Danio rerio: one gene and its partner. The protein of the gene in region 1 interacts with the protein of each later gene in a biochemical or structural test. Links are inferred from orthologs where the notes say so. Each region holds a gene or a part of one and is shown in the gene's direction. Other genes may lie near its edges. The genes, in order: map3k2 and smyd3.

Region 1 (3,837 bases):
CTGGCAAATTAAAATTCCTATTAGCATGCTTCAGCATATACCTTATTGTAACTGATGTTGTCAAGTTTCACATATATATATATATATATATATATTTGTTTGTGTGTGTGTGTGCGTGTTTTGGTATTTGGTATTTTAAATAAAAAACATTGGATGGAAATGCCTAAATTTGCATAAGATCTTAAATATGTCAGTGCACACAATTTCTTTGTAAATTTCTAAAATAACTGGACTAAACTGTAGACCAACTTTATTGAACAATATTGCAAATTTCGTTTTAAAACCAGAAAGGATAGAAATTGGATCTCAAGGGGATATCTGTCAAAACAAGCCTACATGGCTTCTCGGTGATTCACTAACCCTGAAAAGTGCTAGTCACATGGTCAGAAACACTTGCGCGAATCAAAAATGTCAAAGCAAATTTGCTGTTTGAAGTAATGCTGTTATTACTTCAAACAACAACAGTTGCCATTATCAGTTACTTTTCATATATTAGTATATGTCTTAAAGTTTTAGCGATCTTATAAACTGACATAAAACAAGATTTTAATTTTCTTGTTCCAATTAGGTTCTTTTCTGGAGTTTCAAATATTAATAAATTCAATAATTAATAATAGTAAACAAATTAATTGAAGGAACAAATATGTTGTGTTAAAACAGACTACTGTTTTGCTAGAACAAACTCACAAATTTCAAAAGCATTAATTAATCATTTAATATTATTATTATTAATATTAATATTAATAATAATGAATCATTTCTGTAAACAATTATATACAAACACAGAATTTTTCATTGTATTGCACACCAATAGCGGTCATAATAATGGCCTATTTCCAATTATTTCTTTTTTCTTTTTCTTCATAAGCACTGTGATTCTTGAATTCTTGCTGTTAACACTTCAAAAAAATATTTAAAATACAATATTCAAAGGCTTTTGGCTTTATCCCTCTTATAAACTCAGATATATGAATTTGGACCACAGTTAAATTACAGTATGACCTTGGTGTCTGTCAAAAAAAAAACTCGGCTGGGGATTTTGACATGTATGGTGAGAGAATAGCACTCACATTCTGCATTCAGATTAGCTCGAGAATCCCCTTGAGAAGCAATTACTGTCCAAGTAGTGCTTTTAGTTATTTTCAGTTGCCTGAGTCAAAGCCTGTCATCAAAATGATTTGCTTAAATTACCTATCAGAACTGTCTCACAGGATTGTCTTTTCACATAACATGACAGATAATGACTGTGTTTGTTATTGCGTGTCATCTGCACACTCTGAGGTGCAAGATATTTATTGTGTAGAGAAAAAAAGAGCCTGGCTGCAGTAATTTTTCTATTTTTATTGCTTATAATGTGTGCTTTTCTGAAAAAATGTAGATTTTTATTTTTATTTATTTAAGTTATTTTTTTGTTGTTCTTTTGAGCATTGTAGGAAACATACAAGTTATTAATGCGATATTTACAAGACAAAATGGGACGAAGGAAACGAGATGAAGGAAACGAGACGGCGAAGGAAACGAGCCTCTTCATTTCACCTCTTTCGTTTGTTTTTTTGTTCGTTCATTTCATTCGTCTGGTTTCGTTCATCCGTTTCATTTGTTTTGTGGTTTGTTTGTGTCATCCGTCTGGTTTCATTCGTCTGGTTTCGTTTGTCTCGTTCCATTCGTCTCAACTCGTTTTGTTCATCTTGTTCGTATCATTAATTTTATTCGTCTCATTTCGTTTGTCTTGTTTTGTTCGTCTCAACTCATTTGTCTTGTCTCTTTTCGATTGTCGTTTCGTCCCGTTCTTCTCTTCTTGTTCTGTTTGTCTCGTTTCGTTCGTTTTGCTTTATTCGCCTCATTTCGTTCGCCTTGTTTTGTTGGCCCCCGTTTCGTTCATCTCGTCTTTTTAGTGTAAGTTAACTCCACAACTTTAGTTCAAATCTTTTTATATCTTTTATCCAAATATGGTATTCCTCTCAAAAGGCTTAACATTTTCTTTTTCAACAATGCCCTTCCTACTACTTTTGGTCCATTTTGTTTTAATTATTAAAGTACATTTGTTTTTGTTTTTTGTTGCCTCAAACTAGAATCACAAAATAAATTATGAATATACAAAGTTGAAGTCAGAATTATTAGCTCTCTTGAATTATTAGCCCCCTTTATATATTTTATATCATTTCTATTTACTGAAAAGACATTTTCAACACATTTCTGAACATAATAGTTTTAGTAACTCTTTATCGTAAGCCGTTAAATGACACTAAGCTGAATACTAGTATCTTAATAAAATATCTAGCAAAATATTTTTTACTGTTATCATGACAAAGATAAAAGAATCAGTTATTACAAATATAATATATATATATATTTATTATTATTATTATTATTATTATTATTATTATTATTATTATTTATATTAATATTATTATTATTATTTTTTTTTTATTTTTTTATTTTTACAGTTTTCTGACTTTTCTCAATCTCTTCTTCTTCTTCTCCAGGTTCTCAGTCAACAGATCGCAGCTCCCCTCCTCCAGGTTATATTCCTGATGCTCTGCAGCAGGTGGCCAGAAACGGCTCTTTCACCAGCATCAACAGTGAGGGCGAGTTCATCCCAGAGAGCATGGACCAGGTAATTAGTCTGACAACACTTTGGTTTTAGCTGATGTGAGTGAATTGAACAACAGCATAATCAGATTTATCTTTTCATGTTTTACCTTTTCAAGATGCTGGACCCTTTGTCAATGAGCAGTCCTGAGAATTCAGCATCAGGCAGCTGTCCTTCATTGGACAGTCCACTTGACAGGTTAATAACTAACCAACAAATATAGTACATGCAGCCTATTTTCTATAGGATTGCAGGTTAACAGTGTCTGTTTATAATAACTTATATTTGATTGTAACTTTAACTTAATTTCATTGTAATACAATAATGTGCATCTTTTGTAAAGCTGCTTTGAAACAGTCAGGGCCGCTGCTGGCCAAAAGGGGGCCCTATGCGAAATTTTACTGTGGTGCCCCCACAGAGGAACAAAAACACACAAACATATGTATTTAAACAGGTATTTATTTATTTATATACATAAATATACATTTAAGCACTCAAAATTATACTTAAAACAGTCATATATTTACATTACAAAATAATTGTTTGCATTAAAATAAACATTGACATGTCTTCTGCAGAAACATTCATAATTTCAAACATTTACAAAAGGTAAGAAATAAAACCCTCTCTGTACCTGTAGAGATGGACGGTCCTTAGTACTGCAGCCTCTGTCTGTACCAGTGCAGCTGCTGGTGCCTCTGGAGCAGTGCTGGGGCCTCATGTACGAAGATTTGCGTTGAAATCATACTAAAACATTGCGTACGCACAAAGCTGTAAATGCGCGTACGCAGTAAAAACATCTGATGTATAAAACACTGCGTACGCCGAATTACACACGCATTCTCTTAGTAAATCCGAATGAACGTGAAACTAAACGCAACATGCACGAGCGCAAAACCCCTCCCTGCCTCCTCCCCCGTATATGCTAATATGCTAATGATTCTACTTTGACAAAACCCAACGAAAAAGCAATGGCAAGCTAAAAGAGAAACTTTTTGAACAGAATGTGATTTGGAGGTGCTGCTTTCGGTGGTAGACCAGAGAAAAATTTTGTTCATTGTGTTATAATCCTCCGGAATTAATAACAAAAGAAAAAAAAATAGAGAGGGAGAGTTTAGCTAATCACAGTTGGGTCTAAACATCACACCGAGTGGATTGGAAAAGAATTAGTGCGATGTAGAGGTGTAAAATTTTATAGTATCTTTAACAGCATGAGTGGCGTAGCTCGTAAAACGCATGGCAAC
Region 2 (4,400 bases), on another chromosome or scaffold:
TTAACATCATATTTTCATTTTTTTGAGCCCTAAAAAGTTCACAGTAACATCTCTTCAATTAATCTGTAATATTATATATGTCCTCTAAAAAAAAAAAGTCTAAGATGTCTAACTTTGTAGTTTTAATTTCGCTCAGTAGTATTTATATTACATATATAAAATTAATTTATTTAAAATTGTCAACCTAACAAATATATACACGCCTTCTTTATCCAAATTGAATTTACTACCCTTTTGTTATGTTTGGGATTTTTTTTTTTTTTTTTGCATAAATCTGTTAATAAACCTCAGTCCTGATCAAGCCCACCACTATATTGCTTAGAATATTACAGGATTTTAACTCTTCTTGCCAAATTCATAAATGACGTCACTGATCTGGTGAAAAAAAAACAGACAAAATTACTTATTTCTAATATAAAATGTAATTGTGTACTAAATTTGCCCAGAGTACAATGCTTATTTAAAAATAAATAAATAATTAAAAGCATTTTCTCAAAACAAGATGTCACCAAAAATCATTTTACTAGCCAAAACAGAAAGTTATGGCCATAGAGTGGATGAAAACATCCTCAACAGTACATAAGGATTAAAATGTACTTAAATTATAGTTTATAAAAACTGCAATTACAAAAAAAAAACAGTATCCCGCAGATAAAATATTCTATAACTGAACACTAAATATATATATTATACATTCCCTGGGTGTAAATGACTGTGGGAACTCTGTTATGCATCATTATTTAACAAAAATTTCCAAAGTTCTCTCCAAGTAACATTTCAACATTAATATCTTATATTATTGCACATAAATGTGATGAGCACATTTTTGACGACACTGAACATCATCTTAAACCTTGATATGACTATAATCCTGTCTACATCAGACGATACACCATTACAGTTAGCAGAATACGTAACTATTAGGCTCCTCTGCTCAAATAAACATTTGACATGGCTGACTGCTGACTACACATTTACACTATTTTAACCCAAACTAACCTCAAATGATGCAGTTTTTGTCCGCGGGATCTACATTAATGTAGCACATTGAAGCTGCGTAACACGCGAGTCCGTGACATTGAGCTCCGCGTGCTGTTGACCTGCAGTTTGCGCAATCCCATTGGTGAGGCGCACAATCTACGTCATGTCTCCGCGACGTCTAAACATCTTCATGCAAATCAAAACTGCGTCATTTATACGCATTTTGAAATATGTTATCATTGTTTTATTTGATTTACAGGTGCAATTATGATTCATTTTGTCACGAAACGCTCATATATATGTAGACGCCATCTTAATAAACCAAGTTGTTCAGTGAAAACATTCTTTTTTTGAGCATGAGATTGTTTTAAAGAAGCTGCGTAATGGCGCGTAAAGTTGACTGTCATAAATACAAACAGAGCGTTCATATGTACCGTGAACAAACACATGGACGGTCACTGCAGATGATATTTTTATGAAATGATGGAGGCTGTGATTATGGAGAGGTTTATAAGTGAAGGTAAAGGCAATGGTTTGCGTGCTCTGCGTGAAATTAAACCCGGTGAGGTGATTTATTCATGCAAGCCGTTTGCGTTCTGCGTAGCAAGAGATTTCCTGAAAACTGCCTGTCAAAGTTGCCTCAAGAGGTAAGAAGACCACATTTTTATGCTCTGAATTTTTGTTTTGTTAGAAAAAAATCGCTAGAATACAATTTATACTTTAAGTTACAGCCGGTCAATGATTTATTCTCAGGTTTGTCAATGTCTAAATGTGTTTGGTGCTCAGAAAAGTTAGGCATATACTGCACTGTACGTATATGAATGCATTAATATGGACACTTTTCAATGTGTTGACCACAATATACAATTCTAACACATTTTTGATTGTGCTTTGCTATTAAGTATTTTTATTTAGTAAATTTCTATTTTATTTAACGTTTTGTTACAATATTCCTTTTTTATAATGAATATACTACAATATTTATTTATTTACAAATCATTTTTTATTTTGAATTATTCTAATATGTATTTATTGAGTTTCAATTGTTTTTACTTTTGCACAATATTACAGGCTAACATGTTTTTTTTTACGTTTTGTTAAATTATTTTTACTTAAAATAAGTTTTTCATGATCAATATACTACCATTTTTTATTTATTTATTTACAAATTACGTAATGATTTTTATTTACATTACTTTATGCATTATTTGTTTCAATTGTTTTTATTTTAGCAAAAATTTGACTCACTAAATTGTTGCTAAACGTTTTACATTATATTATGTTTTTCATAATCTAATATTAATATACTGTCTATATATCTTAATAGTAATATAACATTACACTATATAATACATATATAACACACACACCCACCTTACACTATACAATTCTAACATGTTTTTGAACGTATTTTGCTTTGTTTTTTTTCAACCGGCTAACATTTTAAAAAAATATTTAGTTACAATTTTATATTTTTCGTAATCAATATACTACTATATTTATTCATTTATACGCATTCTTATTTTTTTTTTAACATTACTCTAATATGTATTTATTTTGTTTCGATTGTTTTTATTTTTGCACAATATTTTGGGCTAAAATGATTTGAGCGTTTTGCTACAATATTATGTTTTTCATAGTCAATAAACTACTATATTATTTATTTTTTATTTATTTATTTATACATTTCCGTAATTAGTTTGTTAAATTTACATTACACATTATGTGTATTTTTTATTGTTTTTATTCTTTTTAGTTGATCAAATTGCTAAAATATTGCTAAACATTGTTACATTACATTTTTCATAATCTACTGCTAATGTCCTCTCTATATATTTTAATAGTAATATAACATTACACTATATATACAGTTAAAGTCAGAATTATTAGACCTTCTGTTAATTTTTTCCCCACTTTCTATTTAACGAAGAGCAGATTTTTTCAACACATTTTTAAACATAATAGTCTGCAGCTCTGCACAAGACGTTTGGCCAGTGGAGAAATGGTCGTGCCCAACTGAGCCTGGTTTCTCTCAAGGTTTTTTTAGTTCTTCACTTTCGCCAATTGGTGAAGTTTTTTCCTCGCCGCTGTCGCCACTGGCTTGCATGGTTCAGGATCTGTAGAGCTGCACATAGATGAATTCGCTCTTCAGTGTTTGGACTCTCAGTAGTGATTATTAACCACACTGACTGAACTGAGCTAAACTGAACTGAACTACACTGTTTCAATTCACTATAATCTTCTTTGTGAAGCTGCTTTGACACAGTCTACATTGTAAAAGCGTTATACAAATAAAGGTGAACTGAGTTGAATTGAATAATAGTTTTAATAACTCATTTCTAATAACTGATTTATTTTATCTTTGCCATGATGACAGTAAATAACATTTGACTAGATATTTTTCAAGATACTAGTATTCAGCTTAAAGGGACACTTAAAGGCTTTACGAGGTTAATTAGGCTAACTAGGCCGGTTAGGGTAATTAGTCAAGTTATTATATAACTATGGTTTGTTCTGTAGACTATTAGAAAAAAAAAGCTTAAAGGGGCTAATAATTTTGACTTTAAAAGGACTTTTAAAAAATTAAAAACTGCTTTTATTCTAGCCAAAATAAAACAATTAAGATTTTTCTCTAGAAGAAAAAAATTCTAGGAAATACTGTGAAAATTTCCTTTCTCTGTTGAACATAACTCGGGAAATATTTTAAAAATAAATTCCAACGGGGGCTAATAGTTCTGACTTATGTTCACATTACAATATACTTTTCTAACACATTTTTATGACTATTTATGAAGTTGTTTTTTTTTACAATGGGCTAAAGTGTTTTTTTTTTTACGTTTTGTTACAATATTACGTTTTTCATATCAATATACTACTATATTTATTCATTTAGCAATTTTATTTAACTACTGTAATATGTATTTATTTTGTTTCAATTGTTTTAATTTGTTTACAATATTACAGGCTAAAATGTTTTTTAACATTTTGTTATAATATTAAGTTTTTCATAATCAATAGACTACATTATATATTTATTTATTTCATTACAAATTTACGTAATCTTATTTTTAATTTATATTACTCATATGCATTTATATTTTATTTAATTTGTTTTATTTGATCAGATTGCTAAAATGTTGCTAAAGGTTTTGTTTCGTTATGTTTTTATAATCTACTGCTAATATAGTCTCTATACGTCTAAATAGTAATATTACATTACACAGTACAATATATTCTGTATACACATTACAATATACAATTCTAACATATTTTTGAATGTACTTGACTAAGTTTTCAAACAGGCTAAAGGGGTTTTTTCAACGTTTTGTTACAAAATTATGTTTGTCATAATCAATAAACTACTACATTTATTTATTTATAAATTTACTTATTAATTTTTTTTAATTTACATTACTCTT

What was found.
Region 2: the proteins of map3k2 (region 1) and smyd3 are reported together in a solved structure, tested with the Homo sapiens proteins (2 studies listed by BioGRID and IntAct, with this or other methods). The link is inferred for Danio rerio from reciprocal best matches to the Homo sapiens genes MAP3K2 and SMYD3.

The regions. Positions count from the first base shown.
Region 1 is NC_133181.1:10,478,835-10,482,671, reverse strand, and holds part of map3k2 (mitogen-activated protein kinase kinase kinase 2), read left to right. Parts: intron 1-2,486; coding exon 2,487-2,617; intron 2,618-2,711; coding exon 2,712-2,791; intron 2,792-3,837. UniProt on the Homo sapiens protein: Component of a protein kinase signal transduction cascade. Regulates the JNK and ERK5 pathways by phosphorylating and activating MAP2K5 and MAP2K7. Plays a role in caveolae kiss-and-run dynamics.
Region 2 is NC_133192.1:13,256,378-13,260,777, reverse strand, and holds the start of smyd3 (histone-lysine N-methyltransferase SMYD3), read left to right. Parts: upstream 1-1,407; 5' UTR 1,408-1,461; coding exon of another isoform or gene 1,462-1,464; coding exon 1,465-1,628; intron 1,629-4,400. UniProt on the Homo sapiens protein: Histone methyltransferase. Specifically methylates 'Lys-4' of histone H3, inducing di- and tri-methylation, but not monomethylation. Also methylates 'Lys-5' of histone H4.